Linked DNA regions of Cricetulus griseus. The protein of the gene in region 1 interacts with the protein of each later gene in a pairwise test. Links are inferred from orthologs where the notes say so. Each region holds a gene or a part of one and is shown on either strand. Other genes may lie near its edges.

The links.
Region 2: the proteins of Tns2 (region 1) and Shfl interact in binary tests that used the Homo sapiens proteins (3 or more experiments, as listed by UniProt). The link is inferred for Cricetulus griseus from reciprocal best matches to the Homo sapiens genes TNS2 and SHFL.
Region 3: the proteins of Tns2 (region 1) and Crkl interact in a two-hybrid assay, tested with the Homo sapiens proteins (2 studies listed by BioGRID and IntAct). The link is inferred for Cricetulus griseus from reciprocal best matches to the Homo sapiens genes TNS2 and CRKL.

The regions. Positions count from the first base shown.
Region 1 is NC_048595.1:398,500,653-398,504,346, forward strand, and holds the start of Tns2 (tensin-2), read left to right. Parts: upstream 1-881; 5' UTR 882-966; coding exon 967-1,041; intron 1,042-1,130; exon of another isoform or gene 1,131-1,225; intron 1,226-1,731; exon of another isoform or gene 1,732-2,810; coding exon of another isoform or gene 2,811-2,816; intron 2,817-2,900; exon of another isoform or gene 2,901-3,615; coding exon of another isoform or gene 3,616-3,687; intron 3,688-3,694. UniProt on the Homo sapiens protein: Tyrosine-protein phosphatase which regulates cell motility, proliferation and muscle-response to insulin. Phosphatase activity is mediated by binding to phosphatidylinositol-3,4,5-triphosphate (PtdIns(3,4,5)P3) via the SH2 domain.
Region 2 is NC_048597.1:133,744,283-133,748,027, forward strand, and holds the start of Shfl (shiftless antiviral inhibitor of ribosomal frameshifting protein), read left to right. Parts: upstream 1-1,222; coding exon 1,223-1,243; intron 1,244-1,629; coding exon 1,630-1,753; intron 1,754-1,890; coding exon 1,891-1,940; intron 1,941-3,347; coding exon 3,348-3,386; intron 3,387-3,511; coding exon 3,512-3,661; intron 3,662-3,745.
Region 3 is NC_048597.1:71,868,074-71,871,818, forward strand, and holds the start of Crkl (crk-like protein), read right to left. Parts: upstream 2,623-3,745; 5' UTR 2,187-2,622; coding exon 1,876-2,186; intron 1-1,875. UniProt on the Homo sapiens protein: May mediate the transduction of intracellular signals.

The DNA.
Region 1 (3,694 bases):
TGTCACAACTCAAACTAGCACCATGGCCCATCAGTTTAATTTCAGGCGTTCTTTTCCAATATCAGACTTTTAAAAAGGAATGAGGGGCTGGAGAGATGGCTCAGAGGTTAAGAGCGCTGGCTGCTGTTCCGGAGGTCCTGAGTCCAATTCCCAGCATCCACATGGTGGCTCACAACCATCCGTTATGAGACTTGGTGCCCTCTTCTGGTGTGCAGGGATATATGCAGACAAAAAATAATAAATAAAATACATAATAAATAAAACAAAAAGTAAAAAAAAAAAAGGAATGCGATGACACCACCAAAAGAACTTGCATTGGTAAGCCCCAGGAACACAGGGGCGATTACTAAAGCCGTTGAGGGGTGGGAGCTTTGAACCTTGTGTGGGTCCTCAGCTGTGAGTCTTCTGGGAGAAGAGACACAGAAAAGTTCCAGTGGGGGAGAACACCAGGAAGTGGTGTCCTAAGACCCGGGACACCAGTACATCTGGCGCCCCCACCAGGTCAGGCATGGTTCAGAATAGATCCCGCACTAAAGTGGCCGCCGAGATGCCAAGGCCTCGCAGCTGTTCTGTGTACCCTTCTGGATCTGTGTCCACCTTCTTTTGAGGAGTCTGTGCGGCTCACGCGTTTCTCTCCGCCCGTGTCCCTCCGCAGCCTCTCGGTCTGAGGCTCCCTGGGGCTGCCTTCCCACGTGCGGTCCCTCCCCGGCTCAGGCTGCCAGCTCGGCCTTCGAGCCTGCCTCTGCGCGCCGAGCCGTTCGCGGGAAGGACAGTGGGAGGAGAGGAGGGAAAAAGGAGGCGGCGCGGGCGGGGAGCGGGTGGAAGGTGGCGATTGGAGCCCGGGGAAGAAGGAGGGAGCCGGAGGGCGGGAGGAGGTGGCGGGGCGCAGAGGGAGGGAGCCAGCTGAATGCCCGTCCCGCAGCTGCCGCTGTCTCCGCGTGTCGCGGTGCGGCTGGCCTGGCCGGGATGGGCTGGCCCGGGGGCGCCCCCTGCTGCTGCCCCGGTCCGCCGCGCCCCCAGCCCTCCGGGCGCCCCCCACAGGTGAGTGGCCCCGCCACGCCAAGCGAGCGGGAGCGCGGGCGGCGGCCCTCTGCGTCACAGCGCGAGGTGCGAGCCAGGGGCGGGCGCCAGGGGGCGCGGAGCCACCGGGGTCCCGGAACACCGAGCGCGGCGGGATCCCGGAGGCTGGGACTGCCTGCCGCCAGCGCCCTCCCGGTCGGTCGCGGTGAGCTAGGGGGCAGTTTGAGATCCTAGAGGTGACCAGGGGGCGGGGCACGGCTGTGGTCCTAGCTCAGGCCGCCCCGCCTTCCGCGTCCTACTGCGCACTACTGGAGGGTCGGCTGCTCCCTGCGTGCATCCCCAGCTCAAACGACAAACACACTTTTTGAGCACAAGATGCCCGCGGTAGCTGGCCGCAGTGTTTCGGCCCTGGCCTGGCAGAGAGTATGCAAGCGTTTTCTTCTCATGTTCCCTATCTGGGACACTGAGGCACAATGCAGGCACAGATGAAGCTGATCCCTCCTAACAGCCCTAGTCTACTTCTGCCCTGCCTAGACACCCCCTAGGTCTCTCTGGATACATCCCAGAATCCTACCTCTCTTCCCCTCCCTTCTTTCCTGGGCCTCACTCCTCTGTGGCCCGGCTCCCAGCTTCTCATCCAACCACAGCTATTTCCAGGAAGGAGGGGTGTGTGGGTGGGTGGAGGGGTTTCTCCAAACAAACCCAAGGCTTCAGAGTAAGAGGGGGCCCTGCTGGGGGGAAGAAAAAAAAAAGCTCTGGAATATTCCAGGCAGGAGGTGGGAAGCGAAGATCTACGGGATCTGGTAACGCCACCTCAGCCAGCCTTCAGGATCCTTCCAGAAGTACTTCACTCCCCGTGGTGGGGACACTCATAGCTCTTGACCAGCCAATTGCAGTCATTTGAATGGACACTTTTCTAGGTCTGTGCGGGCAGGCAGTGAAAGTTCAATGTGGCCAGAGGATGTCTGGGGACTTTTCACAGAGGAGGGGACTTTCAGTCCCACAAGGAGACAGCAGAAGTAAGGCTATGTGCCATAGATGCAGAGGGAAAACACTGGATGGGGGGAGCCACACTCACACAGGCCCTACAGTGACCCATCTCCCCCAGCAGGGCTGGGTGCTGAATCAGGCCAGGCCCAGTTGCCCACCTGGCCATTGGCCTGGAATGTCCTGGGACACAGCCAGGACTTGGGTAGGGATTACAGAGCCAGTGGCCCTCTCCAGTTACAGTATGGGGGGCCACACCTTGCCACTCAGGTGCCACCCTCTAGCCAGGGTACACAGGTGACAGGCTTCCTAGAGAATTGGAGCATGCAGGAAGAAGGCTCAGGCTTCCCAGTCTGATGGTCTTTCTAAGGTGAACCAGGGAGGAGTAGAGCAGCCCTTCACCTGGATGAACAGGAGGCAGAGGAGGGAACTCCTGTGGAACCCTGTGAATGTAGCCAGAACCGGAGGAGTTGCACTGGGACATTCAGTAAATACCATGCAAATGAGGACGACAAGATTGTACATTCTTTCAAGTGACAGCTACAGCATTCCAAAGGCTGCTGTCCAGGGCTTGAGCCGAGAACCCCCAGGCCATTGACCCTTGTTTTAGGAAGATTGTTCTATCGTTTCCAAGGCCCTATCCACCTCCTTCCTTGACTCCTGGGACAGGAAGTTGGCCCTATTCCCAGGAGGGAAGCAGGAGGCCCTAGAGGGGGTGGAGAATGTGTTGGGAGGGGGCCTCCTGTCCAGTCCTCAGGTCCAGTGACAGCCACAGATGAAGAAGAGCCAGGCCCAGAAGAGCCATGAAGGTAGTGCTCAGGTTTGAATGGGTGGGTGGGTGGGGTCCCAGATACAGGGGGACTAAGCCAGGAACTGTGGGTTTTATCTGGAGCACAGTAGCTGGGGTCTTCAGGTGGAACCTTTCCAGGGCCCTGGGTTGCTCTGGACCACTCACTACTGTGGGCAGCTGGGCTTCTGGCTGGTGCTTGGCCTTGAGGAGGGTACTGCATGATCTTCCCCATCTGACAAGGAAGCTGGCCCTCATTCCTACTTCTTTCACCCTAAGTAGTCTGAGTCCTAGCCTGCCAGGGGTACTGGTTCCCAGCTCCACTCCCTTCCCACAGGAAGTCCCAAGGGAACTTAAGAGTCCAGGCTAGAGACTGGCTGGGGACACAGTGTTCTTCTCTGGCCCTCAAGCCCAGCCCTGAGACCTGAATTCCCACCCTGCCCCACTGACTGATTCCAGGGCTGGATCTCAAGACCACAGACCCCTACACAGGGTGGCCCACCGGGTGAGAGGCAGCTCCAGAGGAGAAGGGGAGAGCCAAAGATCTTGGGCTGACACTCCCAGCAGGGGTAGATCCTGGGAATCTGATCTCCTGGCCTCCCCCACATCCTCCCCCACCCCACTTCCTGGAGCAGCGACCTGCCCCCTTCCCGCCTGCACTTCCCTTCACTTCCAGGGCCAGGCTTCTCCACACACCAGCCAGACAGCCTCCCCTCCACCCAAGGGAAGCGGCTGCCTCGGCCAGGCTGCTTCCAGGAAGCCCCAGGCCAGGCCCCAGCATTGTTCAGGCCCTGCAGCCAAGACCCAGCCAGCCAGACACCATGAAGTCCAGCGGCCCTATGGAAAGGTTGCTCAGAGCCCTGGGGAGGGACAGCAGCCGGGCCACCAGCAGGGTAGGAG
Region 2 (3,745 bases), on another chromosome or scaffold:
CTCCAAAGGTCACCCGATGATTGGTGCATTATCTATGTCCCACATTGTGCTGAGTGCCATTAAGTCCCCCTGGAAGACCAAACATGGAGGCTCACATCTGTAATCTCAGTACTGGGGAGACTGAGGCTGAAGGGCCACCAAACCACATTCAAGGCCAGCCTGGGCTATGCTGTGAGACCCTAGGTACACATCTGTGACCCCAGAATTCAGAATGTAGAGGCAGGGGGAGACAGTGACATACAAAGTCCAGGGGAGCCTGGATTAAGGGAGCCGCCTTGAAACTACAGGGCCCTGGAAAGAGGAGGGGGGGTGGGAAGATAGTTTCCACTTCCCTCTGGTGTTGGTTTCCGGTTCACCATTATACCACCATTATCTGCACTTGTGCTATCCACCCTGATTAGTGAAGGAAACCAAGCTTTGAGTGCTCCTGGGTCAAAGTGAGAAACCCAACCCCTGTACCAAAAAGGGCAAGAAAGAGGGTCGCAGCAAGGAAAACCCAGGCAGGCAGGCCTCTTAAATCTAGGGCCCATTCACCGCTCAAGAAGTTCATGAAAGTTGCCCCAAAAAAAGTTCTCTCATTTTGTCCTGGGATATTTTCCTCTTTTCTTTTTTTTTTTTTTCCTTTCTTTTTGAAACAGGGTCCATGTAGCCCAGGACAGCCTTGAACTCTTGCTTCTCCTGCCCCCACTTTCCAAATGCTGAGGTGACCAGTGTGTGTCGCCAAGCCTGGCTTGCGTGCCCATTTTACAGAGGAGGAAACTGAGACTGGCTGGAGGGAGCTAGGGGGAAAAGATGCTGCGGGTAGGAGCCTCTGAGTAGAGCAAAGCTCGCCCGCGGTCTAGGAGGAGCAGCGTGGGAGCACCGAGACCCGCGTCCGCGCGCGGTGCGGCCCCGCCCCCACGGGGGACGTGAAGACGCGGACCCCGCGCAGCGTGGGGACATGTGACCGACTGCAGAGGCCGCGCGCTGCATCCCCGGCCCGGCCGCGCTGCTGCGCAGGACGCGGGGAGGCGCGCGCTGAGGCCGGGAGCACCGCCCCGGGAGCACCGCGGGGCGCGCGAGCAGACACGCAGCCGCACGGCCGGGGCGGGGTCCCCGCGGGGTCCCCAGCTTCGCGCAGAAACGAAACCGAAAGAGGGGACCGAGGGAGGCGGAGCCGCGCCGACGCCACCCAGCCCTGCGGGGCCCGGACCCGGGCGCGGCCAGGTGCGCACCGGCCACCATGGCTCAGGACGGCGTGGAGGTAGGACAGTCGCGCCACCCGAGACAGGCCGCGCGGGGAGGGCTCCGGGGACACCCCGACCCCCTGGGCCGCCTCCCCCTCCGTCCCGGCCGTAGCGGGGCTGCAGGGTCAGAGGTTAGAAGGAAAGGGGGTGACCTGGCCTGCATCCCGGCTCACACGCACGCACGCCAGACCGCAAATTCGCACCCGGCAGGCTGGCACCCGCCGCAGTCTGCACCATCCCCCAATGCCTGGAGAACTTTGGATTTTTCCAGGAAATGGCTTAAAGGGAGGGGGAGGGGAGAGGGTGCGGAGGCCAGAAGCCGGGGTCAAGTTCAGGAGAATGAGGGGCGGGCGCCGCTCCCCAGTCGTCCCCCACACCAGCGCTCACCTCCCCTCCATCCCAGTTGGAGAAGAGCGTCAGGCGCCTCCGGGAGAAGTTTCATGGAAAAGTGTCCCCCAAGAAGGCAGGGGCTCTTATGAGGAAGTTTGGCAGCGACCACACCGGAGTAGGGCGCTCTATCGTGTATGGTGAGTCCGCCCAGGGGGTACTGCGTGGGTGTGGTTGTCGCTCGCTGTAGCGACCCTGGCTCCCCTTGACAGGAGGCTCTCCACCACCTGGAACTCCTACTCACCCTTCAAGAGCCCTTCCCATATTTCCCCACTAGGTGTCAAGCAGAAAGATGGACAGGAGCTGAGCAACGATTTGGACGCTCAGGTAACCTGAACTCCCTCTCTCCTCAAAGAGAGATACTGTGAGAGCCCATCTTGCTATCTAAGTTCCTTCCTTGTCCGAAGCAGCCTGCAAACAGTAGGCGCTCATTATGTGCTGATTGCCTCAGATGGAGGAGGAGACAGGACAGTCGGATAAGGAGGTCCTGGCTGTTGAGGAAGGCTCAAGGAAACTAATTCTACCTTTCACTAGAAGAAAGGCTGGGCTGGCCTGGGGGGGAAAGAGGTCCCAATGGAGGAGAAGGGATAAATTCATAGAATCACTTCTGTGGCTGTACCCTGTGTGCTGAACTTGCTTGAAAGGCTTGCCAAAGTTTTGTTTTGTTTTGTTTTTTTGAGACAGGGTCTCACTATGTAGCCCTGGACTGTCCTGAAACTCACTTTACAGGCCAAGCTGGCTTTGAACTCACAGAGATCCACCTGCCTCTGCCTCCCAAGCACTGGGAATCAAAGGCGTGCACCACCATGCTGGGCACCTAAAAGAATCTGACAAATCATATTCCTTTGGTTTAGGTCTATAAGGAATATGACAAATTAATAATAGAAGGAAGTTGCCTTCATGGAGAGAGCCTGAGGGGCAAACCTCCAGGCCTTGGTTCATTTCATATCCCTTTCTTCTGCTTCCGGGAGGCAATCCTATTACACAAGAAAGCTCAGGCTCATGACATTTCACCAAGTTCTGGGGACCAGCATTTGACTTCAGGGATTCAAATTCTAGCCATTTGCAATGAAGCTCGGGCTCTGAGAGGCCCTTCTGTGAGAACCCTCAAAGAGAGGGACTTGCCCACCATCCCCATCTGGGAGCAATAGAGCAGCCAACCGGTTGCAAGCCCCCAAACTGGAGCCTTTTAAAGCCATGTGGCCAAGGAGCTGAGAGATACCTCAGCTGTTGAGAGCACTTGCTGCTCTCACAGGGGACCCTAATTCCATTCTCAGCACCTACATGGGACAGTTCACAACCACTCCAGTTCCAGGGGTATCTGACACCCTCTTCTGGCCTCTATGGGCACTACACATATGTACATGTACACAGACATACACATTTTTAAACTTTTTAATCTTTAAAAGCTATGTGGCTTCAGTGGCCAGGTGTCACATGTGTGGCCTCTGCAGATTGAAAGGTCATCCAGGGCTCTGGGTTCCATGGGCCACGATCACTGAGTGGGTTCAGATTCTGGGAAATGAGACTAGCCAAGTATTTGCTTCTTAAGGATCTTTGGGACTTCATTCATTGTAGGCACTGGCTCTATCTGTCAACACAGGCAATAATGTTTCATCTCTGTCTGAAGTCCAGGAGCCCCATGCAGGGGCTTCTCCCCCATTCAACATGGGTATAGGACTCCTAGATAGAGCCTTTCCAGTCTCTGTACTCCTTTTCCGTGTCTCCCCTCAGGACCCACCCGAGGACATGAAGCAAGACCGAGATATCCAGGTGTGTTTTTTGGCTGGGATGAGGCAGGATGGATAACTGTCCAAGGTATATAGCAGTAAGGATGGTCGCTGTGGGCTCCACAGGCAGAGGTGACCCTGTTTTGTCCCCATTCATCCATGTTTCAGGCAGTGGCCACCTCTCTGTTGCCCCTGACAAAAGCCAATCTTCGAATGTTCCAAAGAGCCCAAGACGACCTCATCCCTGCCGTGGACCGACAGTTTGCCTGCTCCTCCTGTGACCACGTGTGGTGGCGCCGTGTGCCCCAGAGGAAGGAGGTGGTACCCCAGACTTACTGGATTCCCTCCTGTACTCCACTCCTGTTGTCTGTGTCCAGAAATTATTTTTATGACTGAAGGTCA
Region 3 (3,745 bases), on another chromosome or scaffold:
CACTCCAGCACACTTTTCCTCCTTGAGGGGAATCTAATAATTAACTTAGACTTTCTCCAACACCTGTTACATTGTTGCAAGCATGTTCTAATAAAGGCCTGAGGTCAATAATATAATCCACTTTCACAAAGGAGAGAAGAAATTTACTCAAATATATTACCAAACATTATTATTATTTTTTGTTTGTTTTGTTTTTTATTTTTCGAGACAGGGTTTCTCTGTTGCTTTGGAGGATGTCCTGGAACTAGCTCTTGTAGACCAGGAGTGCTAGGATTAAAGGCATGCGCCACCACCGCCTGGCTTTACCAAACATTATACTTCCTAAGTTTGTCCAAGCTATCCAAAATTATTAAAGTTGACAGCACCTGCCACCAGCTACTAGGACCCTCATGTTTCAGAATTCTCAGTGTCCTCATCTCCATAACATAGATTACTATTTACAGTCACTTTCTCTGTGTTTTACTTTTTTTTTTTTTAAATTATTGATGTGTGTGTGGATACTCACTTGCCATGGGACACACACTGAGGCTAAAGAAAGGACTCTCCTTCCACATTTATGTGGGTTTGGGGGAATCAAACTGAGGTCATCAAGCTTTTGTTGCAAACAACTTTCATTCACTAAGTCATCAAGCCTAGCCCCTTCACTACAGTTTTTTAAACTCCATTGATTTTGCCAGTTAACTTTACACTCCTTGTACCATCACAGCTTTACTTCTTCTATCCTAAAAAAGAAACCCTTTTACTTTTAGTAGGTATCCTTAATTAAGTATAGTACCTTTTCATCTTCAAAGTTCAGAGCAAATTACCTCATTAGCAATTCTATGAAGTCAGCTCACCCTGAGAAGTCTAACTCAATCCCCAGACCTTTTTAGAAAATGGCTTAGAAATATACCAGGCAGTGAAATACTTTTTGAAGTCTACTTTCTTGTTGTTGCTATAGCGCAATTAAGCTTGGAACTCAAGGTCCTCTTTTCCTTAGGCGGTTAGGGGTGTGCATCTCTCTCACGCAGCTCTACTTCAGTTTCTTTAAAGTATATGTTAAACCACTAAATTTAATTCCCACCCCCCAAAAATCTAAAACTGAATTAATGTAGAATTAAGATAAATATACTTCCCACCAGGGAGAGATGGTACAAATTTCCTCAAATATAATCTCAGTCTTTTTCCTTTGAAATTCTAGTTTTTTTTTTTTTAAAGGGGGGGGCTACTTCAAATTGCGCATCAGATTCTGAAATTCCTACGATTTCGGTTCATTTTAACGATTTTCCAAAGGCTGCAAGCCAGTTCTTAACCTGCAGTTAGCTGTTGAGATGCAGGGGGTTCTAAAACCTTAAATGGTGTGTAAACTACAAGAATTTTCGAGGAGAGAGCCATGGCTAGCTTCAGAATCTCAAGGACGTCTATATACTTTTTAATGTTAAAAGAATTCTGCAGCCAGACGGTGGTGGCGCACACATTTAGACTCAGCATTCGGGAGGCAGTTCGAGGCCAGCCTGGTCTACAGAATGAGTTCCAAGGCAGCCAAGATTATTTCACAGTGAAACCATGTCTCGAAAAACCAAACAAGTAAAATAAATAATAATAACAATAATAATTATGCATTAGTATTAGTCAGCTAAAGTGACAAAACTGTGTATGTGTGTCGGTGGGTGCATTTGAACAATACAATCACCACTAAATGTCTAAATAAAAATGCATCCTTTCATCCAGTGACCCAGATCCTGACACTGGCCTTCCAATCCGATGTCTTCCTTCTGGTTTAGAATGAGGGAAAGCAATTCAACTCCTCCCTCCACCCCCAAAATTAAATCTCTGACCGACCCTCCGCATCGGGTCTGGTTCCCAGCCCGAGCAGGGCAGCAGGAGCTCGCGTACCTGGGCGCTGGTTCGATTAAGGTGGTCGTATCCAGGTAGTGGATCTTGTAGAACTCCAGCAAGGCCGGCAAATGATCAAACTCCTGGTCCCCGATCTTAAAGCGGCGGTTGGGCAGGGAGTTGATGATGTAGTGCGAGACACGCGAGTTCTCGGACACGGACAGTACATAGTCCCCGGGGCAGGTAGAGGAGTCCCGGACTAGGAACATGCCATGGCGCTGGCCCTGGAGACGGGTCTGAGCCTCCTGGCGAGACACTGGCCCCATGTACCAGGCAGAGCGGTCTGCAGAATCAAACCTGGCGGACGACATGGTGTTGGGTCCGGGGATGGGCGGCGTCTGCTGCTCTCGCCTGCTCGTGAAGCCTTTACCCGCTGTCGGCTTTGGGGCCGAGGAAGGGCCTCTCGGAAGACCTCGAGGAGCAATCAGAGGGCTGGGTCAGGACCTTCCTCTCGGCTCCGGGCCCCGCAGCATCCTCCGCCACCGCCCGCCTGCACCGGGCCGCCTCACGGGAAGAGCAAGCCCGGGAACACTGGGCAAAGCCCTGGGGTCGAGGTGGGCGAAGCCGAGCGGTAGCAGAGGCCGCCTCGGGCTTCTCAGCTGCCCGGCGCCCAGGAATGGCTCCAGCGACTTCTGTCCTGGAACCCGCCGGCTCCGCAGCGTCAAGAGCCCGCACCGACCCTCGCCGTCACACGAAGCAGCCTTCTCCAGCAAGAGTCGCGCCTCCCAGGCCGTTTCACCCAGCCCGTTCCCAATAGCCACAGCAACAAAATGGCGGACGCGGGAGAAGCGGCCGGGCACCTCCCCCTTGGTCCAGCTCACTCTCTCTGCGCACGCGCGGAGCCGGGCGCTACCCCCGCCACGGGGCCCGCCCTTTGACGTCTCTCGGCGCAGCCAATCAGGAGTGCGTTCGCGAGGGTCCCCTCCGTGAGCCACTCGTGCTGGCTCCCGCGTTCCGGGAGGAGGCTGAGGAGGCCGTGGGTCAGGCCCTTCCTGGGCCACAGAGCCGCAGTCAGGCAACTGCTGCTGCTGCTGCCGCCGCCGCCGCCCCCGGGAGTTCCGCACTTGGCGAGAAAACAGCCGGAGCCGAGAGGGAACAGCGTTATGAAAACCTGTTTCTGGGAACAAAGCGTAACGTGCTGGCTTGTCTGGCCAGGGAGGCGTGGCCCTCAGGTGACTGCGAGCCACAGGGCCCTGATAAATCAGGTGGCTTAGGAAAGGCATGACCCAGGGTGAGGTGACCATCAAATGGGTTACTGAATAACTCCTGCCCTAGGTGATCCGACTTGGCACACGTGGAACTAATGCTTTAGGAGGGCCACAGTCTGGTGACAACCAGGCCACTACAGGCTCTGAAATGCAACACCTCTGTGTCTGACTTGAATGTCTTGCCTGCTGTAGGTCGTTGTTCTACAACAGTTCCAGTTTGCTTCCTGCCATTCCACGTTGCTCAACTCCAGCCGTGCCCTCCCAACATATTTCTTCCACCCCCACTAGGATCAATCTTTTTTATTTTAGGGTGAGATACTCAAGACAGAGTTTCTCTGTGTAGCCCTGGCTGTCCTGGAACTCACTCCCAAGACCAGGCTGACCGGGAACTCTTCCTGCCTCTGCCTCTTGAGTGCTGGGATTACAGGTACACACCTGCCCACCACTGCCTGGCTATGATCAAATTTTAATAAAACACCTTTGTTTTGCCTACCTTAATACCATGTCTGGTCTTGAATGAATGATCAGACACTTGTTAAATGAATGACTATTGTGAAAAATCACCAAGACACTGATGGCAGGTTATTGATCATAGCATTTCCAAATTGGATGAACAGAAAGGTATAATCCCATGCCAGGGGTGATGGCACACACCACTAAGC